3 linked regions of the Mytilus edulis genome follow. The protein of the gene in region 1 purifies or fractionates together with the protein of each later gene. This does not show direct contact. Links are inferred from orthologs where the notes say so. Each region holds a gene or a part of one and is shown on either strand. Other genes may lie near its edges. The genes, in order: zygotic DNA replication licensing factor mcm3-like, cell division control protein 45 homolog and DNA replication complex GINS protein PSF2-like.

The links.
Region 2: the proteins of zygotic DNA replication licensing factor mcm3-like (region 1) and cell division control protein 45 homolog purify together in Drosophila melanogaster (affinity purification with western blotting; 5 studies listed by BioGRID, with this or other methods). This does not show direct contact. The link is inferred for Mytilus edulis from reciprocal best matches to the Drosophila melanogaster genes Mcm3 and Cdc45.
Region 3: the proteins of zygotic DNA replication licensing factor mcm3-like (region 1) and DNA replication complex GINS protein PSF2-like purify together in Drosophila melanogaster (affinity purification with western blotting; 3 studies listed by BioGRID, with this or other methods). This does not show direct contact. The link is inferred for Mytilus edulis from reciprocal best matches to the Drosophila melanogaster genes Mcm3 and Psf2.

What each region holds. Positions count from the first base shown.
Region 1 is NC_092355.1:48,373,306-48,380,712, reverse strand, and holds the start of zygotic DNA replication licensing factor mcm3-like, read left to right. Parts: upstream 1-4,296; 5' UTR 4,297-4,446; coding exon 4,447-4,515; intron 4,516-7,407. Other genes in the region: tRNA-splicing endonuclease subunit Sen34-like, read right to left, coding at 4,184-4,250. UniProt on the Drosophila melanogaster protein: Acts as a component of the Mcm2-7 complex (Mcm complex) (Mcm complex) which is the putative replicative helicase essential for 'once per cell cycle' DNA replication initiation and elongation in eukaryotic cells.
Region 2 is NC_092349.1:77,089,049-77,096,191, reverse strand, and holds the start of cell division control protein 45 homolog, read left to right. Parts: upstream 1-4,135; 5' UTR 4,136-4,221; coding exon 4,222-4,272; intron 4,273-6,522; coding exon 6,523-6,582; intron 6,583-7,143. Other genes in the region: ubiquitin recognition factor in ER-associated degradation protein 1-like, read right to left, coding at 840-969, 3,885-3,887.
Region 3 is NC_092348.1:80,010,894-80,018,859, reverse strand, and holds the start of DNA replication complex GINS protein PSF2-like, read right to left. Parts: upstream 3,001-7,966; 5' UTR 2,943-3,000; coding exon 2,853-2,942; intron 1-2,852. Other genes in the region: transmembrane protein 143-like, read left to right, coding at 3,053-3,142, 6,451-6,653. UniProt on the Drosophila melanogaster protein: The GINS complex plays an essential role in the initiation of DNA replication.

The sequences.
Region 1 (7,407 bases):
GTTCAATCATAATTGTTTCTGGTACTTTTAGTGAGGAAGTGTCAACAATTAGCACAATACAAATATTTTTCATCCCCAATCCAGGGATGATTCCACTATATAGTTTAGGGCCGCTTAACGGCCCTTAAATTGGCCAGCGGCCCCCAAAAATTGTTTGTAAATATTAATTCCCAATTCAGGAAAATAAAACAAAAATCGGTAATTCACCGATTACGGCAACTATAATTTTTCATAATTTGTCGTCAAAATGTTGTAAAATCCGGATAAGAATGCTGACTATGATCGCATTTTATTAACAACGATTTAATTTAATTATGTCAACATTAGGTAAACAATTTTGGCGGCCGGATTCAATTGAAGTTAAAATGTTATGGGAGAATTTGGTTTCGTAAAAGTAGATTGCTCAGCACGTTGATCAAAAATATGCTTTTTGTCAAAATGGGTGTCAAAACAGACCTTGGCAAAGAGCAAATTCAAATTTTGATAGAACATTGATGAATGAATTTTAATGGTAAAAGCAGATTACCCAGAAGAGCCGGTTATGTAATGTGGTTAAAACTTGTTTTGTAAAAGATTTTTTTTTATATTTTGCTCTTTTTTCCGCAAAAGACAAAAGTTTGAGCGTTTTTGAAAATATTGTTGATGATAGACCATTCGTGAAATGAGACCCCCCTGAAATACGATGTCATCATTTTGGAACTGTTGCAAAAGATATGTAAATAATCCAAATAATTTTAAAGTTCACTGGTTCAATTGCTTTAAATATCTTATCAATTAAATATATATACTTTTGTAATTGCTTTTCTAAATTCGACAGTTGGCCAGTTCTATTTGAAATAGTACATTTAAATCAAGGTAAGTTTATAAAGATGATCTGTTGAAAAATTACCCAATGGGTGATTTATTTCAGTGGTTAATATGGCAAGCCGTTTTGCTATTTAATCTAATTTCAAGATATCTCATAAACTTTATCAGATATCTTATATAATAGTTCATCAGATATTTGATATAGTTTGAAATATATCTTATAAAGTTTATAAGATATCTTATATAGTTCACGATATATCTTAAATAATTTATGAGATATCTTATAGTTTATAAGATATCTCATATAATTTTCTTTATCAGATATCTTATAAATTATATTAGATATCTTATAAACTATATAAGATATCTTATATAAAGTAAATTTGTAAGATATCTTATATAAAGTATATTTGTAAGATATCTTATATAAAGTATATTTGTAAGATATCTTATATAATGTATATGTAAGATATATATTTTAAAATCGATATTTGATATCTTCTATATTATTAAAGATATCGTATATAAATTATACGATATTTCATATGATTTTCTTAATATGATATCCAAATTATATAAGATCATGAAGATATCTTATACAAAACATATTTGTAAGATATTTCATATACTTCAAGATATCTTCAATATATCTTATATATTATATGAGATATCTTATATATTACATAAGATATCTTATATATTATGAGATAATTTGAAATTCGAATAAATAGCTAAACGGCTTGCCATAGGTTTATGTCAGCTGGTACTCGAGTTGTGGTATATATGTTTTTGTAATAGGCCTCGTTTACCAAAGTTAAGATGATAGTGCATCATATGCAATGATATTCATGTATTACAACTTCCCTAGTCTGAATCCAATAATTTCTTCAATCAGTATACAGGTGAAATTAACTTAATATTCATTTTCCGTTTTTACAGGAAAATGATATTATTTCGTCTTAGATTGTATGCATAAAAAAATCCCAATTGGGATAAAAATTCCCAATTTGATATTCAAGGGACCCATTTAAAAACACCTGGAATCATCCCTGCAATCAGACATCTTTAAACTGATGTAATTCCACTCATCCTTCAGGGGTTAAAAAATCCACTAGCCCGACGCCCGGGACTAGATCATTTACACCTCGGGCAATTAAAATGTGTAATCTGATATGCCCGACGGACTAGTAAAAAAATACTTCTTGACGTTTCCAAAATAAAAAAAAAATCCCTTCATCACTATTCTCTGTTAGCCAATTCGATTAAATTAAATCCTCTGGGATTCCAAGAATTGAACTGGTTTGTACAGGTCCTGTTGTACATATTTTAAAAATAGAACAAATAACTCTGGCATGTCTGGGTGGCCTGGTATCATGTGTTGATCGCAATTCTCGTACTTTAAATATCGATTTCTCATACCATGGCTTGGGGTATTGTACATTGCTTATCGTGCCGATATTTTCAATTAACGGTATTTGGGGGTATGATGTATTGATTGGTATTGACCTGTTTTGTTGCACAGCTCTTGAGCACGAAACCATGCAACAAAATATTTCTTAATATTTTAGTACGGGAACCCAAGGAACTTCGTCAGTTTCAAAACGAAAAACGGTAGATGAAAGGAGTAACGAGGCTGAAAATTCATCCCACAAAAATGCTAAATACGACAGGGAAAAGCCGCGGAAAAAAATTAATGGTGTCCAGGACAGAAGGGCTGCCAAGTCTTTAGCGCGAGACTCAAACATGTTCATGCTTATTTGGCGGCATTTTCCTTTGAACTATTGTTTTTTCTCTTTCATCTTTACAATTTGGCCAAAAAATCACGCATTCACTTCCTGAAAAGTTGGCAGAACTGGGACACAATGATTCCCCTGGCAAGGTTGGCTGTTGCTGATGAAAAGACAGACAATGCTCTGTGAATATTGCCGTTAGTTGCGCCAAACATGCAAAAAAAAAGTCTGCTTTGAATATGGGAACAACTGAGTTAGGTTAAGCACCAAAAGAATAAACAACAGATCAACAAAAATGATTAAATACAGTGTATAATGTCTCCTTCAAAACAAAGGACACCCACTTTGTATTTTGCAGCAAACTCTTGATTTTTAAGGCATACTAGGGCTAGCAGGTCAGTTTTGATGGACTAGCAGTTCTTCCAACAGAGCTAGTAAAATCCTGCTGCCAATAAGTCCTGGGCTAGTTAGCTGTAACAAAAATTTTTAACCCCTGATCCTTCTTTAAATTTTATAAATGAGGTACCAAAAGAAAGAAGAATGATTAATCTTTCAAATTGTGATAATTTCATTATGACATAATTATTACCGTACATAATTAATTGTTATGTAATTAGTTGCTATATTGTGATGTCCATACTTGAATGAATTTAGCTTCTTTGTTATATTGCATCCCAAAATATTTTATAGATTCTTGCACAACACAGTTTGACCTCCAAAACTATGTCTCAGATTTTTCCTATTGTATTTCATTCTCTCATAAATCTTCAATGAAGTTTGCAACATCAATTCATAAGAGATCACTAAATTCAATTGGATATAAAATTTGTTCTATTGATGATTTTGGAAATCTGAGACACAGTTTTGGAGGTCAAGCTGTGATGTACAAGAATCTATAAAATATTTTGGGAAATACCTTTTTGTGTTAACGTGTTATGGCACTTTTAAAGGTGTTGTTAACTGTTATCTGAGATCAATTTAAGCTGTTAACTGTTTTCAACCCACTTTGTTAACTGTTATCAGCATTTTTGCAATTTTTGTTAACTGTTTTTGCCAAAATTGAGGTAATTTGTTAACATGTTAACAGACCCCCTATCCCCCCCTCATTATTATTTGGACTAAGACTCAACCAGAAAAGATATAGACTAGCTGATATAGTGGTAGCTGCGGAAGCTATGGTTCCGCATGTCCGCAAATAGTCGAAAAATAACATAAGGACCTAAGAGCTACGGTTCCGCAGCTAATATAGTGGTATTTCTTTTCCAAACTTGTTATTGCCAACAGCAAAATTTGTATAAATGAAATGCCCCATACTTCTAGAGGCGTTAGAGACTCATTTGGGGGGAAACAAACATGAAAAGTTTGCCTTGTTTTTGTTGTTTTTGTTGTGTTGGTGTCTTGTTCACTTTTGGCTTATCTTCTTGGAATTTTACATATTTCCTCTGCAATCTTAATAGCTGAGTTCTAATGCATGATAGATTTATTGGTTCCAGTCCTTACTTTCAATTTAATTATAGCAAGGATTTGTATACCATTATTTTATAGTGCAAGACTACAAAATAATTTATACTTTTTTGGCACCTATGCCTATGGTGTTTTGGTGGGTTTTTTTTTTAATTTCACTTTTCACGATGTTATTTCAATACCTTTAGCACTCCATACAAATACATTTTGGTTCTGTAAATATATTTTGATTCTGCAACGATCAGACATTACATTTTCCAACGATTTTTAAAAGAAAGACAGAAAAATCTACTTTCAGTTTCACAAAAAGATAGAGAAGTTACGAACGGAAACCACGTGGAATAAATATACTAAAAATAACTCCCATGTGACATGAACGGCGGGAAATTACAGCATTACCTCCACAAAGAAACAAGAACCTAGGAAAATAACATTGTCGAGGAAAATGGCAGCAGAAATAGATCAGCGAATAATAGAAATACAGAGAGAATATCTTGATTTCCTTGATGATGGAGTAAGTATATTAAAAAACGATGCTGTAACTTTCCTGAAAAATAACTTATTATTTGTCAATCACTGACTAATATTTAGTTCAGCATTTTACTTTTCATTGATTATCACTGACATCAGACATCACTCAGTAATATCAGTAAAAGGATACAAAAACCATGAATCGTTTGATTCCTTTCATCGGTGAACGAGTTATTTACTTCAGTAGATCACTCAAACTCGGACTGAAACTGAAAGACATCTGTCATGATCAATGGACAAAGCATGCAATAGAAGTTAATTATAGTCTAAATAAGGGGCAGCCTCGATGTTCCAACACCCCGTTAGTCCGACACGCCATTGGTCCGACACCCCACTAGTCCGACACCCCATTGGTCCGACACCCCACTGGTCCGACTCCCCATTTGTCCGACACCCCATTAGTCCGACGCCCCATTGATTGTATATTGTTTGTCCTATTATATAGATCTCTATATTGTATTTGAAATAAACACAAATTCAGGAATTTTGCAACTTAGATCGAGGGCATCTTCGCTAGCCAAGGGTTACGATCCACCCTTGGCGGATTGAGCCAACATTTGTGAAAACAATGTTTCGCCACCTGCCGGAAGATTTAAGTCACGCCCATTCCAAATACATTATTCTTGACCAATGGTAGCACTTGAACTCTTCAATTCGAAGGTAAAAAGACGGTAGTGTCCAGATTCTACACACTTGGTAAAGCCGGAAACGAAAATATACGTCAACATTCATGCATTTGTGCATGAAACATACACAGGAACTTCTATTAGTTGATTAAAAACATTCAAGTTGTCACTAAATATAGTCGTATTTTTAGGGATGTAAAGACTTGTAGCACAATAAACACGTGGCAATTGTTTACAAACACTTTCCACATTTACAGGTGATCATGTTAAAGGCGCTTTTTGATTGGATGCAGCAAGTTTCGACTGCAACCAATAAAAATCCTTACCCTGTGTCTCCGAAATTTTATCTCAATCCGCCAAGGGTGAAGAGAGCGGGAGTGGATCGTAACCCTTGGCTAGCGAAGATGAGATCGAGGGATACCCCTAGAGTATCTCTATTAAAGGCAAAATAAAAAATCGACCTGTAAGTATACAAGAAAAAATGACATTACAAATGTTCAAGTAAAACAATCACTATATATTTTTGTTAAGGAGCCAGCTGAGGCACGCATCCGGGTGCAGGAGTTTATCGCTGCATTGAAAACCCATAAGTGGCCTTCGGCTGCTGTCTGTTCTTTGGTCGGGTTGTCTCTTGCTCAATTTGACAATTAAGAAAAATAAAAGTTGTTCAAAACAAAAACTCCGACTCACAACCTGCAATGTAACTAGTTCATCTGGAAGGATATAAACAACACTACAAAGAAAGTCCCATAAGAAGATCGGTATATTCTTACTTGTTACCGGTATTCGAATGTGCAATAGTAGTTTCACGAAACCAGGAAAAAGAACCATGTACATGTATATTATCACAAAAAAGCATCTATAGCTAGGCCAGGTATTAAAATATCAACAAAATAAATGCAGGTTTAATTTTTGGAGTAACTTGAATGTTATGGCAATTCTGACGTGTTTGTTTTCATATGCCGGTCAAAACTATGACGGGACTTACATTTATTATGGTATACAAATTACCATCTGTCAGTCTGTCTGTCCATCTGTCTGTCCGGCGTAATCATGTCACACCGTAACCTGAGAACGACTTATACAAATTGCATGAAACCTAATATAGTTGTTTTTTATGATGGTCAAACGATCTGTATACTTTTTGGTGAAAATAAAAATTACGGGACTTTGTAACTGAAAAAGGGGGTGTTTTTTTCACATGTCACGCCGTATCTCAATAGCCATTTATGATTATCGCTAAAACATTTCTTAGTTATATTAATCTAAAGATCTGTATACTTTTTGGTTACAATTCAAAATTTTATTTTTGAGTTATTGAGTTTTTGTAAAAAAAGAAAAGAGGGGGGGGGGCGAGGGTTCTCACATGTACCGCCGTATCTCAAAAAGGATTTATGATTATTGCTTAACACCTTACACTTCTTAGGGTGCAATCAACAGTTTTTTTCTATGACGTCATATTTTGAGGGACCATGTATAAGTGACCCTTAGTGGTGGACTGATTAATAAGGATACCTGTAACATTAAATTATTTAAATTAAGAGTTTATTAAGAATTCTAGAAAATGGAAAGGTTTAGACCATGGGATGTTACTCCAGTGTTGTCATTAGTTTTCTTCTTAAAAAAAGGCTTTCCATTGGCCAAAAACTATTTTGTGATTATGTATGTATAGTCACACCACTGTGATCATGTTATGTATGTGTGGTTAAACCCGTGATCATGTATTTATTTGTCACAACACTGTGATTATGTATGTATGGTTACACACCTGTGATCATGTATGTATGGTCACACCACTGTGATCATGTTATGTATGTGTGATTAAACCCGTGATCATGTATGTATGGTCACAACACTGTGATCATGTATGTATGGTTACAACACTCAAGCATTGTGGTTTTCAAACTTGTTTATGTAATGGTCAATGTGCTGTTACCATTCTGGAAAAGTTAAATTATTGTTGTCATTTTATAATTATCAATGTTGTGTTACCATTCTGGAATAGTCAATCTAAGGATACTTTTGAAAGATCAATTAAATGATAATTAACACTACATTTACCATTCTGGAATGGTAACACTACATCGACCATTCTGGAATGGTAACACTACATTGACCATTCTGGAATGGTAACACTACACTACATCCACCATTCTGGAATGGTAACACTACATCGACCATTCTGGAATGGTAACACTACATCGACCATTCTGGAATGGTAACACTACATCGACCATTCTGGAATGGTA
Region 2 (7,143 bases), on another chromosome or scaffold:
TCTCGAGTGGATAAATATCGTATCACACTCGATGCAGTGATAGAATCTATATTTATTTGATGATTTGTGCTAGGTTGCTATGTCACTGTCATATACTATAGATAGATCTCCTTAAATTCATTCCATCCAGATCTAATGCAATATAATAATTGTCAATTGAGGAACATAAATTCAATGTCATAAACTATTGTTCAAGAATTATTAGTGATATTTGATATGAATGTTTCAAAAATGAAAAAACTTCTAGGCAATATTTCTGATTCCTCAGTATATGGTCTGGGGACACAGTTACCGTTACAGTTATCATTATTTGATTTTTTTTGTCCACAAATAGTCCATAACTTTTTTCATAAATACTCCTTCTTTTATATTATTAATACATTGAATATCAAATAGGTGAATGAAACTATGTGTCAAAACATTGTGAGTCATGCATTTTGTTTCAAGAGTGAAAAAGTTCTTTGGTGTTAAAACTATAGTATATCTGAAGCTAACAATCTGAATTATAGATCCCCTTATTATAAAATTATTCTCATTTTAGGTAACAGGTTTTGATAATTTTGTCTGTATAAATTTAAAATTTGTCCCAAAAAGAAGTACACTGCACTGTAAAAAAATCTTTTTTAGAATGGAGCAGGTTCAATTTTTTGTAAATTGTGTTTATTGTCTAAAAGAAATGAACTGCAAAATAACTGCTTTCTCTGGCCTGACCAAACTACACAAGGAAAGATATTTTGCTTATTGAAAGTTTTTTATTATATATAAATCAAAGATCGTAGATCTTGTCACCCAAATAAAGGGAGATAATCTGTAAGTATAATTATATTTGTTTATCTTACTTTTTCCACCTCTCTCAACGTCTTCTCTGTTATCTAACATGGTCACAGAATAACATCTATATGTCTGTTTAAATCCACCCAGACCTCCACCCAGCTCAGGCCCAAATATGTTACCTCCAAATCTACCAAACTGGAAAATAAAAAAATTATATGAATTATCTGTTAATAATACAATACATTATGTCTGATATTACCATCTTTTATACATGTCTATGTATCATGTGTATTCTAAATTGTCAAATTAATCCATATTAATAATTTTCTATTTTGTTAATCATGGTCTTGGTTTTTTTTTTCATTTTATTTTTTAGTTTAATTTTCTGTTAGCCAAATTTTGAATCAGTTTCTCTATCGATTCGATGAATAATAATTAATTTACATGCATTACACTCTATCTGTCATGGCTGTCTACATTCACATGATTCACCAGTCTTGAGTTGGTTTTTTTATGAAAGAGTTACAACGGTTGAACTGTGGTCAATCAGCATAAACGATCATTTCTTACTGTGACACATAAAACAATTACGGGAAAATGCATGAATTCAAAAGTCTTCTATTGTATCTGGCATTATATCATTTTTTATTTGTAATATTAAAAAATCTTTTGTATATTGGCAGTATGTCAAAATCTTGGAATGTTTCCACTGTCATGACAGTGCTACTCATGCTACTGTTGTCCTATAAATGTTTAAAGGTTTTTCAACTATATGTCATATGTTTTCGTATGTCATATGTTTTGGTATCAACCACATTTCGTGGGTTTAGACGGCATACACGTACATTGTGGCGTGTTTTTCGGTTTCTATATTTGGAACAACAACCACACTTCAACATGACAAATGTGTGACAAATTCAAAGTCGCTTTTAAAAACGTAAGAACTAATTAAATTAAACTTGCCTGTTCAGTCATTCTTATTTAATGTCAATAATACGGATCATAATAGAATAGTTGTTCAGAAAAATTCTGAGGGATTACATGAATTATAGCCATATTGTCTGCCTGTCCCACATCAGATCTTCAACACCATGTATCATCGTACAGCCTATATAGGTACTAACCAAGCGGGCATGATCAATTTTGAACTGACATGGTAACGAAAATCTTTGAATTGTTTTATCAACATTCAGTGTACAAAATTTCTCAACATCTGAAATTCCTGCTCCAAAATAATTTTTGCATCGATTTTTTTCTATTTATAAGACAACTTTGATATTTTAATAAGAACAATCAACTTGTAAATGCGCAAATAGTTGTGAGTGTCACCACCAACTTTCAATTTCGATACAATTGTCGAGACATTTACATGTTTTATCTGAAAGAAAGCTTATACAGGGCAAAAGTAATAGTTACCAATATTAAACCTACCTGTGATTACTCATTCCTTGAAAATGTTTGGGTAATAAACGAGTATGAAAATTTAGTTTTTGTGTACGGTGTACAGCAACTTAACTATATAGATGCATCGTACAGAAGGATTCATGTGGTCAGCTAAACACTGTACACAACGCTTCATTTCGGAATAAAATATCGAAAAAAAAGTATGCATGAAAGATTTCAATGCCAATTATTGAAACACTTAATATTGCAGACACACAATGGCCTTCTATCAGAAAAAGAGTTGCATTGGAAATAGAATTATATCGGATGAGACGAGTGCCAACTTCTTTGACAAGTATTTGCACATGTTTTTTGTAATTATTCTTGCTTTGGCAAAAATAATGAGACATCTCTAATATCATCAACCTATGACCAAATCATTTCTTGAAACAACTATTATGTTTAGATTGAAGTACAAATTGATATTATGTGAACAAAACAAAGATTTTCGTTACCGCATGAGGTCAAAATCGATCATGCCCGCTTGGTTAGTACCTTTATCCGCTGGACTGATGATACACGGTGTTCAAGACATGTGACTGTCATGTGGTTTTTTGGTAATTTATTACAAACCAGGGAGTTAAGGTTATCATGGTTCTTATATATAAAATGGCTGTTCAAAATTATTTTTTTCAATATTTTATTGACAATTCTTTTTATACATCCTTGATACATGAAGATGAAAACAGTCTTAACTTTTTATATTTAATCCTAAATTTTGAAAACTGCATTTTATTTTTTTTTTAAATCATGTATTTTACAAGTACAAACCAGGTGCCAATCTGAAATTAATCAAAATCTAACAATTTCAGCACAAGAAACACCAATCTAAAACTATTTGCTAGTAATTTTTAGTACTGAAAAGTATTAAATAACCTTTTTCATGATTCAAGCAATCACCAGAACTACGACTTTTAAAAGAAAATACTGATTTCCGGATTTTATATAGTCATTTCCTGTTTATGTACTGATCCAATTTTTATTTCATCATGTTCATACGAAAACATATGACGGCGTTTTTTAGACATACAAAAATCGCAGAGTAATTGGAAACAGTAAAAAATCTTAGTAAGCCTTGTCAAAAAATATAGATACCTAAAATCAATCTACAAGTCATGCGTTTTAAATTTGAGTAAACACCTGAATTAAAACTCAACAGTGAAAACCATCAGCAGTGAAAATTGTTATTAGAATGAAAACACATCACACAATGATATATCTAATTTTGTTTTAAACAATTTAAAGATTTACATGGAGACGAAGTCCCCTATTACAGAAGAAAAATCCCCCCCCCCCCCCCCCCAAAAAAAATCAGGTAAAATTTCCAGAAATTTTCATTCTACTAATGAACTCAAAATCGTCAGACTTTTTAAAATTGTTTGTTATGAAAAAAACATTACCTGACGACAGAGTTTCTTTGTTTAAATTGAATGTGACGTCATAACTTAAATAACGTCACAACTAAAATCCCTAACAGCAGAACCAAAATCAGAAATGTTACGGTATTTCCGTTTCTCTTTTTAACATGTTTGAATGAAAAAAATCGTATAAACTTCGTCCCCATTCACTGGTAATGCCTGTCTCATATTACTTAATCTAATTATTATATGAATTTGCTGTATTTTTTTAACTATCAACTTATGTATGTAGTTTGATGTTTTCATTACCATTTTTGTATTGTTTGGTTTTTCTTTGGATTTAACCGTGTAATATTCTAAATTCAACAAAATGACTCAGTAGGAAATAAATCGAAAGTAAATAACCAGTGTGAATTATGTTGTCAATAAGTCTTAGTATATTCTTTTCCTGAAAAACGCAAAACTGATTCAGCTTTTGGGGCTAAAAATAGACTTTTCTTAACTAGGTTATGATTGGCCAATTTCTACTTTCGTATTGAAAATTCTACCAACGAAAGTTATTGTTACAAATGACAACAATTTGTCTTACTTCCGGTGTAAACCCCCGCCACAATCTAAAATGTGAAAAATTACTTTATTGTTGAAAATGTTTATAAAAGACCTCAGAAAGGGCTTTTATGACGAGATCTTACATCAGGTAGACAAGACACTAAACATTCAAACTCAATCCTTCAAATTAAAATCGTTCAATTCAGTATTAAGGTTCATCATAAGGAATTGAAAAATATGGCCGTGTTTACACCTCCAAAATTACTATGAGTACAGACAAACTGGTACATCCAGGAAAGTTTTAAGGCATGGCAGGAACTAGATATATAAAAGTTATATGAAGTCTACGTTTCAGAAAATTAAAAACTTACCTGGATTTTGATGTTCATTTTTTTCCAGTCTGCAGAAGATAGCAAAATAAACAAACACCCGAGTTTCATTTGATACGGTCCACTCAGTTACACAGTTTAAACCTGTTAAATCACCTATTGTTTACAGGTGTCTATTGTCCATCTATTGTCCATTTAAATCAATACTACTCACAACATTGATTATATGAGGGGAGCTTCTCAATCGTTTTCACTACTTAGTTAATTTTTGCACCTTCTGCAGGAACGAAAAAAAAATGGATAGCAAATTCTAGAAAAGTTTATAATTTTCTGAAACATAAAATGCATTTAAAATTTATATATCTAGTTCCTGCCATCCCTTAAAACTGTTGCAGGTGTATAGGTTAGTCTGTACTCAGAGTAAAATTTGGGGTGTAAAAACGGCCATTTTAGCCAAAAGGTTATAATGAACCTTAAATCTGCTCTTACTATATCAGTCAATGTCTATGAACTCAGTAACTGTAAGGCAAAATAATGTCTTGTCATTAATGAGGCGGGATAGGACCTTTATCGGGACTCCGGGATCGTGTGTTTTTAAGAGATGGAGACCAGTGAGGAATTCAAGATCAAACTCACCAAGCTCCTCTGTAGTGGCTAGCAACACAAACAATAGATACTAGTAGAAAATGTTTTTAACTGTTTAACCTACACCTGTATATAAATTATAAGCACAATTTTGGAACTATGTAAATATAGAAAGTTTATTGTCATGTTGGAAGACGTCAAAAGTTAAACTATACTTGAGTGATGGGTCGAAGTACCCTTTTCGAGTGACGCTATGTCGTAGATGTAGATAATGTCTGTGGGCTCTCAAGACGCGAAGGCCACATTTCCATGATGTCCATACCGCCATATCATCCTTGGGACACAATGATGTATGCTTGGGTGCTGTGTTTTATATTGATCTCAATTTGTATTTCCTTACAAAAATACCTGTAGTGTGAAGTTGCTCAGATGTACAACAGCTGTTTTGCCAGACAAACTGGGGCCATGAGACATCAGAGCTTGTCCCATATCAAAATTGGATAAATGACCATCCAAATGCACTGCTTTGTTGCTTCTTGATGTTCTTGGATCGGGTCTCAATCTGTTTGTTTTTTTATTTTTTTTTCGTTTAATGTATGTTTTTTCATCTAATTGCCACCCTTTAATTTCTCATACTAATAGTTTTCACAGTGACCCATAGATTTTGGCATTTTTACGTTCACTTTGAAAGATTGTCAATCATGTGACCAACGAGAAAAAGTAGTGCAATGCATTTTGAGAGCTGATTTATTCAAATGGCTCCGGTCAATAATATTGAACATATAATCTAACACCTTGTTTATTTACTACACAAAAATGTTGAAAGGCTGAGTGTGTTCTGATTATTATCATGGTTGGCTAGGAAGGTTCAAGGCTGAAATCAGCATTACAATTTGCATACTTTAAGTCTGGGTGCTGCAAGGCCTCCATGAGATGAGGTCCATTTGAAAATAAAAAGAAATATGAAAAATGACAAGTTGAGGCACCATTTATATGGATCATGGGATGTCAGTCAGCTCCAGAACCAACAAAGCAGCACATCCAGAGCTACTACTATTACCTGTAACTTAAATATTTCATGCCCTTCCTGTAATCAATCTACATTCTCAGAAAATGTTGTCAGCTACATGTATTCTTTTACTTTCTGGTTATACTCACTATGCAGCATGCCATGGAAACATTGTGATGTAAATTATGCATACACGATATTGTACTTCAGGCCAGCTGCTTCAGGCACAACTGTATTGTTTTTATCCTGAATCGGTGATGACAGTGACTGAAACATGTAGAACAATAAATATAAAAGTTACTTGTTGAGGTAACAACCCTGACCTACCAACCACCTTTTGACAACCCTGCATCATATTGCATATGACATTAATGGTCTCTACAATAAGCGTGTCCAGAATATATTTTTTTTCTTTATTTATTTATAGAACTTTAAAAGGTTCAAAAACTTATAATGTTTATTGTTTTATTTTCAGAGAGTGCTTGTTTTAGTTGCCTTTGATATTGATGCTCTATGTGCCTGTAAAATACTTCAGGTAGGATATCATTTATTAATTAATACACAGTTACTGTAATTGTTTGCTTGATGGTGTATACCTGTGTACTGTAATGCCACTTTTCATTAATTAAAACAATTGGATATTGTTCATTCTATTGTTGGAAAATGTTCAAAAACACAAAACCTAGAGCAAACCACTTATTTGCAAGAAGTGTGAAAATCAAATTAATGCTGACTCACAGTTTTTGAAACAAATAAAAACAATATTAAAGAGAAAGAGTATAAAATAAATAACTCTATACAGGACACAATGTAGCAGCAATGATTCCTCTGAGAAAACAGATGTACAAACAACAAGAAAAAGACATTTGTACTCCGGCAATAATATTTTTTTATAATGTACCTCTTAGATGATTGTTTGGTCAATATATGTATGTTATTTGTTGAATTTGATTCAAAAAAATCTAAATTCAGTAAAATGTGAGGATTTTGTTAATCCAGGTAGAAAAGGTGGATATTGTATGAACGATGTAAGCCTAGACCATTTAGCCACATATCTCATATTTAAAATTATACTATAAGAAGTTAAATACTTATG
Region 3 (7,966 bases), on another chromosome or scaffold:
TTTGATTATAAACGATCATTTCAATCGGCAATCGGTTCTTAATGAATACGCTGACTTCAATTGCCAGTTACACAACAGTAAGAAGCAGTATTCAGCACATGTCATCCCCCATTCCCATTCTCAGTTAAATGTTTCTCTCATTGCATGTAAACTAGCAACCTGCCCGAAACAAAAATAATTAAAAGTAGGAAATACAGGCCAAGTCACCAATATATAACAGAAAACTTTACATATATATTCTCAATTCTGAATAAATTTAGATTTAGCTTCATCACTAAATCAACTTTCAATTAACAGCTGATAATTTCATAGTGAATGGAAATACTCTCAGAGCCCTTCAAAACTCCATAGATGTTAGGCATGTCTAGTTGCATTGACACACTGAGATGCTGGCCTACAATTAAATGCCAGCATACAAAATGTGCCAAATAACCAAACAAATCAGAAAAGAACTTCCTTATCTTAACTTAGAATTATATGCAAAAAGAACAACAAAATGTGCCACATAACCAGCAAATGACTCAAAAGAACAATTTATATTACCATTATCAATACCAAATTTATCTGATCAGAAATTTAACTTTTAAGCAGATTGGATATTGTTTCTGATGATACCTGTACCCAAAAAGACATTTACAGAAATTCAAACAGATCCCTTGGGAAAAGCTAAAGGGTATTGGGAATAACAAATTCTAAATTCATAAATATATTAGAGGTATTACAGTAACAACAGTCTTGCATCACATTTGGAACAAGTACAGTCATGTATGTAATTAGTCCGAGATTACTCTGACGTCAAACGGCTGTTTTTCCAGACAAGCTAGGATGGAATATTTGTCCGTCCTAATGAATGCACTGCTAATTGGCTTCTGGAGGAGAATGACCGCCTTAGATCTATATAAATTGATCAATTTGTTCTTTGTGTACCTGCCACCCTTTACTTTCTCATATTTGGACGGTTTTCACAGTGACTGATCGATTTTAGCTATTTAACTTTCATACTTCTACTTTGTTATGACCACCTTCAACATGATGAAGTTTAGGTTACTTTTACTTGGGGGTTCTGATCCCGGATTCTGCTCACTGTTTTGTCATATTCCTGTATCCAGCTCACACTATGTACATAAGCAATTCTCATTCTTTTGTAATTTCCCTATATCTGGCTAGACTTCATTTCCCTTTTTCACAGGGGTACCACGATTTCCCGAGAAATACAAGAACAACGTAATTTCCCCAAAACAAACTGATACATGTATATCCTGAAAACAAGATTTTTTATGCTTATATCTTGAATGCAAATTCCTTGTTGAAAACAATATGTCGTATATCATATTTTGCATACAACACATACAAATCAAGTTCTTAAAGTGAAATTGCACTTTTAGTGAGTAACAAATATCTTTACTATTTTTTAATATTGTTAAAAGTAGCATAACACTATAAGAAAAAAGCATAATACCATATAACAAAGGCACTGGCTACGGTTACATGGAAATGTAACAATAATAAAAATATTATTGTTACATTGGAGACTAAATGCCGGAATGCATGGTTGGGTAAGGACCTGTTTAATTACGAATGTAACAATAATTATTGAGGCTACGGTTACATGAAAAAAAGCAATGTACGATGGGACTAGTAATATGTTCTAAATAATAAAAGTTGAGGACATTTATAACATACAATTTATTTACTGTAATTCGTTATAATTTACAATGACCATTTCTACAAATCCAGTAAGTTGTTTTTAAAGTCCGACACATTTTTGATGAACGAAATTACGTCCTCCACGGATACGTGTACATACAGAATTTCTTAGTATTTAAGTTACAGTTAACAAACTTTGCTTTTGATTATCAATTTGCGTCAAGTTATAAAGCTGTATGAAATGTATGTCTTGATATTGTTTCATTTTCGTTTAAAACGCATCCCAAGTTTTATTTTTTTCACCATAAACAAAATTTGGTCCAAAGTATAATGACAGTAATAAGAGTAGGTGTGCAGTTAAATACTTTAAAAAAGTGAAACCATTGAACTATATTTTTCGCCTTTGAAGTCACACTCCTAATCTTGAGTAGTATCTTTAAGAACACCAAAACCATTAATACGTAGTAAAACTATTCAAGTTGTACACTATTTGTTGAATAATAATATTCTATTATTTATCAGTATTAAATTACAAGTATTGTTTAGTACATATGAAAGAATGAAGCAATACAACTATAGAATATTTAAGTTTGATCAATCTAGCGTACATTGCTGTTTTTCATGTAACAATAACGTAATGTAACCGTAGCCTCAGTAGTTATTGTTACATTTGTAATTAATCGGTTCCTCACCCAACTTTGCATTCCGGCAATTAGTCTCCAATGTAACAATAATATTTTTATTATTGTTACATTTCCATGTAACCGTAGCCAGTGCCTATAACAAATCTTTGTTACATGTATCTGTATATATCAGTTTGTTTTGGGGATATTATAAAGGTTTTTGTATTTCTCGGGAAATCTTGGTACTGTTTTCACAGCACAATTATTACATGTCTTGATAAGAAAAATAACGGCAATCCAGCATCACGTTTAGATCCCAATGAGACCCACTTTATACTATAGTACATTGCTTTGAGATTTTTAGGAATATTTTAGTTAGTCTGTTAGACTGTAGAGATGACTTTGACATGTCTTAAGTATTTTTGTAAGTCCAGCTGGGCCTGTGGTTAAGTGTGAAGACTGGTAACCAAACATAGACTTATGCATTATGGAATAATTATGGCACCAAATAAATGCCTTCAAATTATGCTATAACAAAAATGTCATGCATAAGAAGAGCGTTCTTATTGTGTTATTACTAACACCAATCAGGTATATCTTATCCTGTGTAAAGTTGGGGACAACAGATATTTCCTCTTTTTCAGCAAGAAATTCCACTTCAGCCGGATCCATTCAAGATTTTCGCGGGAGTTACGGTCAAGGTGACGTGAATCGGCGTTGTTCGAATGAATTTGCAGCTAAGGGAAAAGCCCTTCTGTATGTACTATAGTACAAACGCTTTTATGAGACAGACTGTGCAATCGGGCAGTATGGCTGTCCTTCTGCTGTCCCGAAAAGCAGGACTTGCAAAACAAGTAGCAAAAGGAGTAAAGGTCTTTTAAATTATTCATTGCCCTTGCATTCAACGTTTTTGTGACATTTTTCTATTAATTCTTGAGAGTCAGACCTCTGACATTGGCTTGAGTAAATAGGAAATTGACATCCTTGTCAATCTGTTTTTTTGACAGTTAATGAGTTATACGTTCGTATAATTTTGCTTGATCTCTTATCCTTGTCGCTTAAGTAACACGAAGAGGTAGTTACATGTGAAAGCATATGAAGTATGTAAAGATAGCATTTACACAGATTATGACTTTATGAGTTAAAGGACAAAAGTCGAAAAGAGACCTTGCAACCTAAATTCCCCCATATGAGGCAGGTGCTCCCAAGGTTATTGGTTTTTAAGAGGCTTTTATGTCAATAAGGCCATAAGTTGAATAGGCCCTATTATAAAAACGCAGTGGCAATTTTGCGGGCTCTGACAAAATAGCCTCTATGGGGCTATTTAAGTATTTTACTTGCTCCGACAATATAGCCTCCTTGACGCTAATTTGTGGCTCCGGCAAAACAGTGATCATGATAATATGGACAAATATAAACCTTTTTTTTTCTTATTTTGTCGGTCTTAAGATTAATAAGAAGTATATACACAGTGTTGCAGCTAGCATGAAATGGAGGGGCGCTGCGCCCCGCCACCGAAATTATGCGCCCTTCGCCTTTTTTAAGCGCCCCTGCGCCCCTCTGTGCCCTTTTGAAAAAAAGTTTAAAAAACGATATTTTTTCATCATATCGTCGCCATTTTGTTGAGTTCTTTATACACACACTTCATTAAGACAACAGATTAAAATTGTTGACACTTGTTACCTGTATATAATCACCTATTTGATTGGAGTCAATTACTTAATCAGGTGAAATTTACGACCCTGTCTAATCCCTTTGCCCTGAAGCACCAAACATCAAAGTTAAATGAATTGATTATTTTAACACCTGACGATGCAAAATAGAATGTATAAAATAAATGTGAACGGTGTTCATTTCTACTGTACTTGTTATTTATAAAATAACGTTCATTTAAAAAGAATCATTCCAATAGGTCAACACGCAAAATGCCGACGAAAAAAAGAAAAATTGACCAACTCGGAAATGACAAGAAGAAAATATCAAAGACTTGCCAGTCTATTACATCTTTTTTCAAGAATAATGACCATCAAAAGTAAAAAAAAATTTAATTCTTTAACTTTATGAAAAATCGAGAAGAAGAAAGGTTTCTATCAAATATCGCAATTGTTCTTCTATTGTAAATTCCGCCGATTACAGAGCACTCGAAAGTCCGATTTTTATATCATTTTTTCTTAAATTGAAGTCCGTTTTGACTAACTTTAATATTGATATAATTAAATACGCTCAACATGAAGTAAACGGAGATGCTTGTTGAATTGATAATACACTTACAAAATTGAAATAATTTATTATTGTGCCGATTACGGAGCTCTCGAAAGTCCGATTTTTGTATCAATTTTCTTATTGAAATCACAGGCACTTGTTTCTATCCATTGGAAGACCCCCATCAACGTATATTTCCGTAAATATACGTTGATAGGGGGTCTTCCAATATGAATAGAAACAAGTGCCTGTGATTGAAATCCGTTTTGACAAACTTATTGATTTTATAAGATACGCTCAACATGAAATATACGGAGATGCTTGTTGAATTGAACAGACAACAGTGAAACAATGTATGGTTATACAGAGATAGAAACTCTCCTTATTCAATAACAGGACTTTATAGCTCTTGTATCATCAGCAGAACTTACAGATCATTCCTTATCTAGTCTGCTAGAGCTATTTCATTCACCTTGTCATTAGGATAAAAACCTTTTATCTTTATGTACCCTCTTGTTGCAAAACTATTCAGTGTTGCAATATGACATGTACAACCACTCAGTACAGCAGAGGTGGAGAAAATATTCTCTCAGGTCAAATTGATAAAGACAAGTCACAGGGCAAACTTGAAAACACAGACATTAACAAAAATATTAACTGTAAAATTAAACTGTGATGAAACTAATGTGTGACAACCTTCTTCAAAAAGAAAAACAGAAGATTTGTCATTGTTGTTTAATATTTATTTGCATTTGAACTCTTCTTTGAAAAAATCTGTAGTTCTGAAAGAGAAATGAATATAGTAATGTCTATTATTGCTATCAGTTTGATTTTAACTTATATGTTCTAAATAAATGATTTTTAAACTTGTATATAATAGCTATTTAACTAAGCTACATGCTTGCTAAAAATATGTCTTTATGTGGTAATATTAAGTATTTGATTTTTTCAGTGAGAACGCGTTAAAGTGCCCTTTTTAAAAACACGCCCCTCTATTTTCAAATCCTAGCTGGAACACTGTATACATGTAGATTAAGAAAGAAACATGCACTTATTAAAATTAGAAATCTTTCAGCAAATAAGTCTTCTCCTAAATATTTTAATAATATAAGCGCATATTAAATTCGATATTCTTTAATTTAATAAGAACTCTCTAAAACATTGTAAAACATGTTTTAAAACATTTTTAAAAGTATACATATTAAAATTGATACTAGTATTCTTTTATTAAAATTTGCTTTGATGAAAATACTGCATGTATTTGCCTTAAACATTTCAGATTTAAAAGAAAAAACAAGAAAGTTAATTGTTTTTAACAGCTTGCCCCCTTGATCTTACTTTATTTTGCATTGTGTATATAAGAAAAACACAATGTGGGCTGGAATATAATATTCCTATACGGTCAGTGCAGTAGAACAGCGGGTGATTGTGATAGCGCTGAAAAGCGCAGCACTAAAACGGCCTGGGGAGAACACTGCTGACCCCATCCCATGTCTATCTGTGATATTGGTTACAAAGGCTAATAAATGAGGCCATACTTATTGTATTGCTTCAAAAAAGGTAGAGAAATTGCAAATCCTTTTTATATGAATTCTTATAGCTTTTCTTACTAAAAGAAGACTATATGATGGTCCCTTAAAGAAGTCATTAGACTTTGGATGGCCACAACCCTAGCACATGTAACAGTAAATTTGGTCCAGTACCGTAATAAAAAATTTCAGCCAGATTTTTCTTCCAAGGTAATCAAGTCTATGACCATAATTTTATTAGGAATGTGTGTCTAGCAATTATATTCCTAAGAAAAGTTTTATTTGTCCATATTATCATGATCATGTTTTTTCTATGAAAAAGGTCCCGCTTTATACAATACTAAAAAGCACTTTTACAACCAGACTGACAAAGACTATTTTATTTTGCACCTTAGGTTACTTGAACAAACATAAACATTCTAAAATATAAAATTTTATTTTATTTACAGTGTTTACTGAATCATGAATTCACCATATGTTCTTCAAAAGCACAAAGACATTACCATCTCAAGACATGCCAACACATACAATGGCGTACAATTTCTACAACTAGATGTGTAGGAAATGATAAGCTAGCTGAGACGTCTGATCCAAAGAATGAAGTTGTAACTGCACCTGTTCTAGAAGTAGAAGAGGAGGAAGATTTGTACAAGTAATTTCTAATTAAATGTTTGCTACAGATTTGATTTATTTTGTATTAAGTTTTAATTCCTTATTGACTATTGTGTTGACACAGAGTAAAATGCAGGATATTTACAAAAAGAAATGCTAGATTCTGTAATACACAAATGTACTTTAAAATTTGTTAGTTAATACCAGCTTTTGCAGTATCTTTCAAATCAATAATTGGTCCAACATCTACCTCAGCAAATGTCAGTACATATGTATTTTTTCTGGTATTTAAAAAAAGGATTGATGAAACCACTTATGACATACAAAACTTTTTCCGGAAACGAAAGTTCTACATTGACCAGTCAGGGGACCTAATGAAATAAGTGATTTTTAAATCACTTATTTGAGTATCAAATTCGAAGTTTTGTCACAAATTGTGATTTTGTAGTTTTACCAAAATTTTTCAACACATCTATAATACTAAAATTACGAGGTCCAATTTGTCAGCCGTCATCACATAAAAACGACGAATCACAGAATTCAACTTTATATATAACTAATATAGTACAAAGGTGTAGATTAAAAATTACACCACTCCAGGCCCTTTTGTTTTCCACGTAATTAATATTGCCAATAATGAAGAAGTTCCGGGTCGAGTCCGCTACCGATACCAATAGTATATTTACCTGTTACTTATTACAGTATCTGTACGTTCCGCATCTGACAGGCGCACCACCAAACGTTGTATTCAGGATTAATATGCTATATACACGGGTCATAACCACAGGGTTGACACTACTAAATTGTCAAATTGTTACCTATTGTAGTATTTTAATCAGTTAGACTTTCTAAGATAACAATACGAATACTAAAAATCTGGACTAAAAATAAGGCGTATAGGTACAGTTTTCAATTTGTTAGTGGGCATGACGTAAAACAGTGAGGCAAAGAATTCAACTTTACTTATAACTTATATAGGACAATGCTGTTGATTAAAAAATACTCCATTCCAGGACCTTTTGTTTTCCAAATAATTAATATTACCAATAATTGATAAGTTCCAGTTCCACGGGTTCAAACAGAGACTTGAAAGCAGAGAAAAACTGTGTATCTTATAATCGGCATGACTTTAACAGATGACAATACTAATACTAAAATAAGGCTTGCGCATAGTTATATACTTTAATTCAATCACGGACCCGTGATATCACGGGTGTGTTCTAGTAGGTTTAAAAAATATCTTTTCATTAGTAAAATTGAAAAAAATGATTTTTTTGCTTCTTTTAAGTATCAAGGTTTATGCCTTTGATGCTATCATTTAGCTGCAAATTCTATTTTAGTTGAAAAAATGCT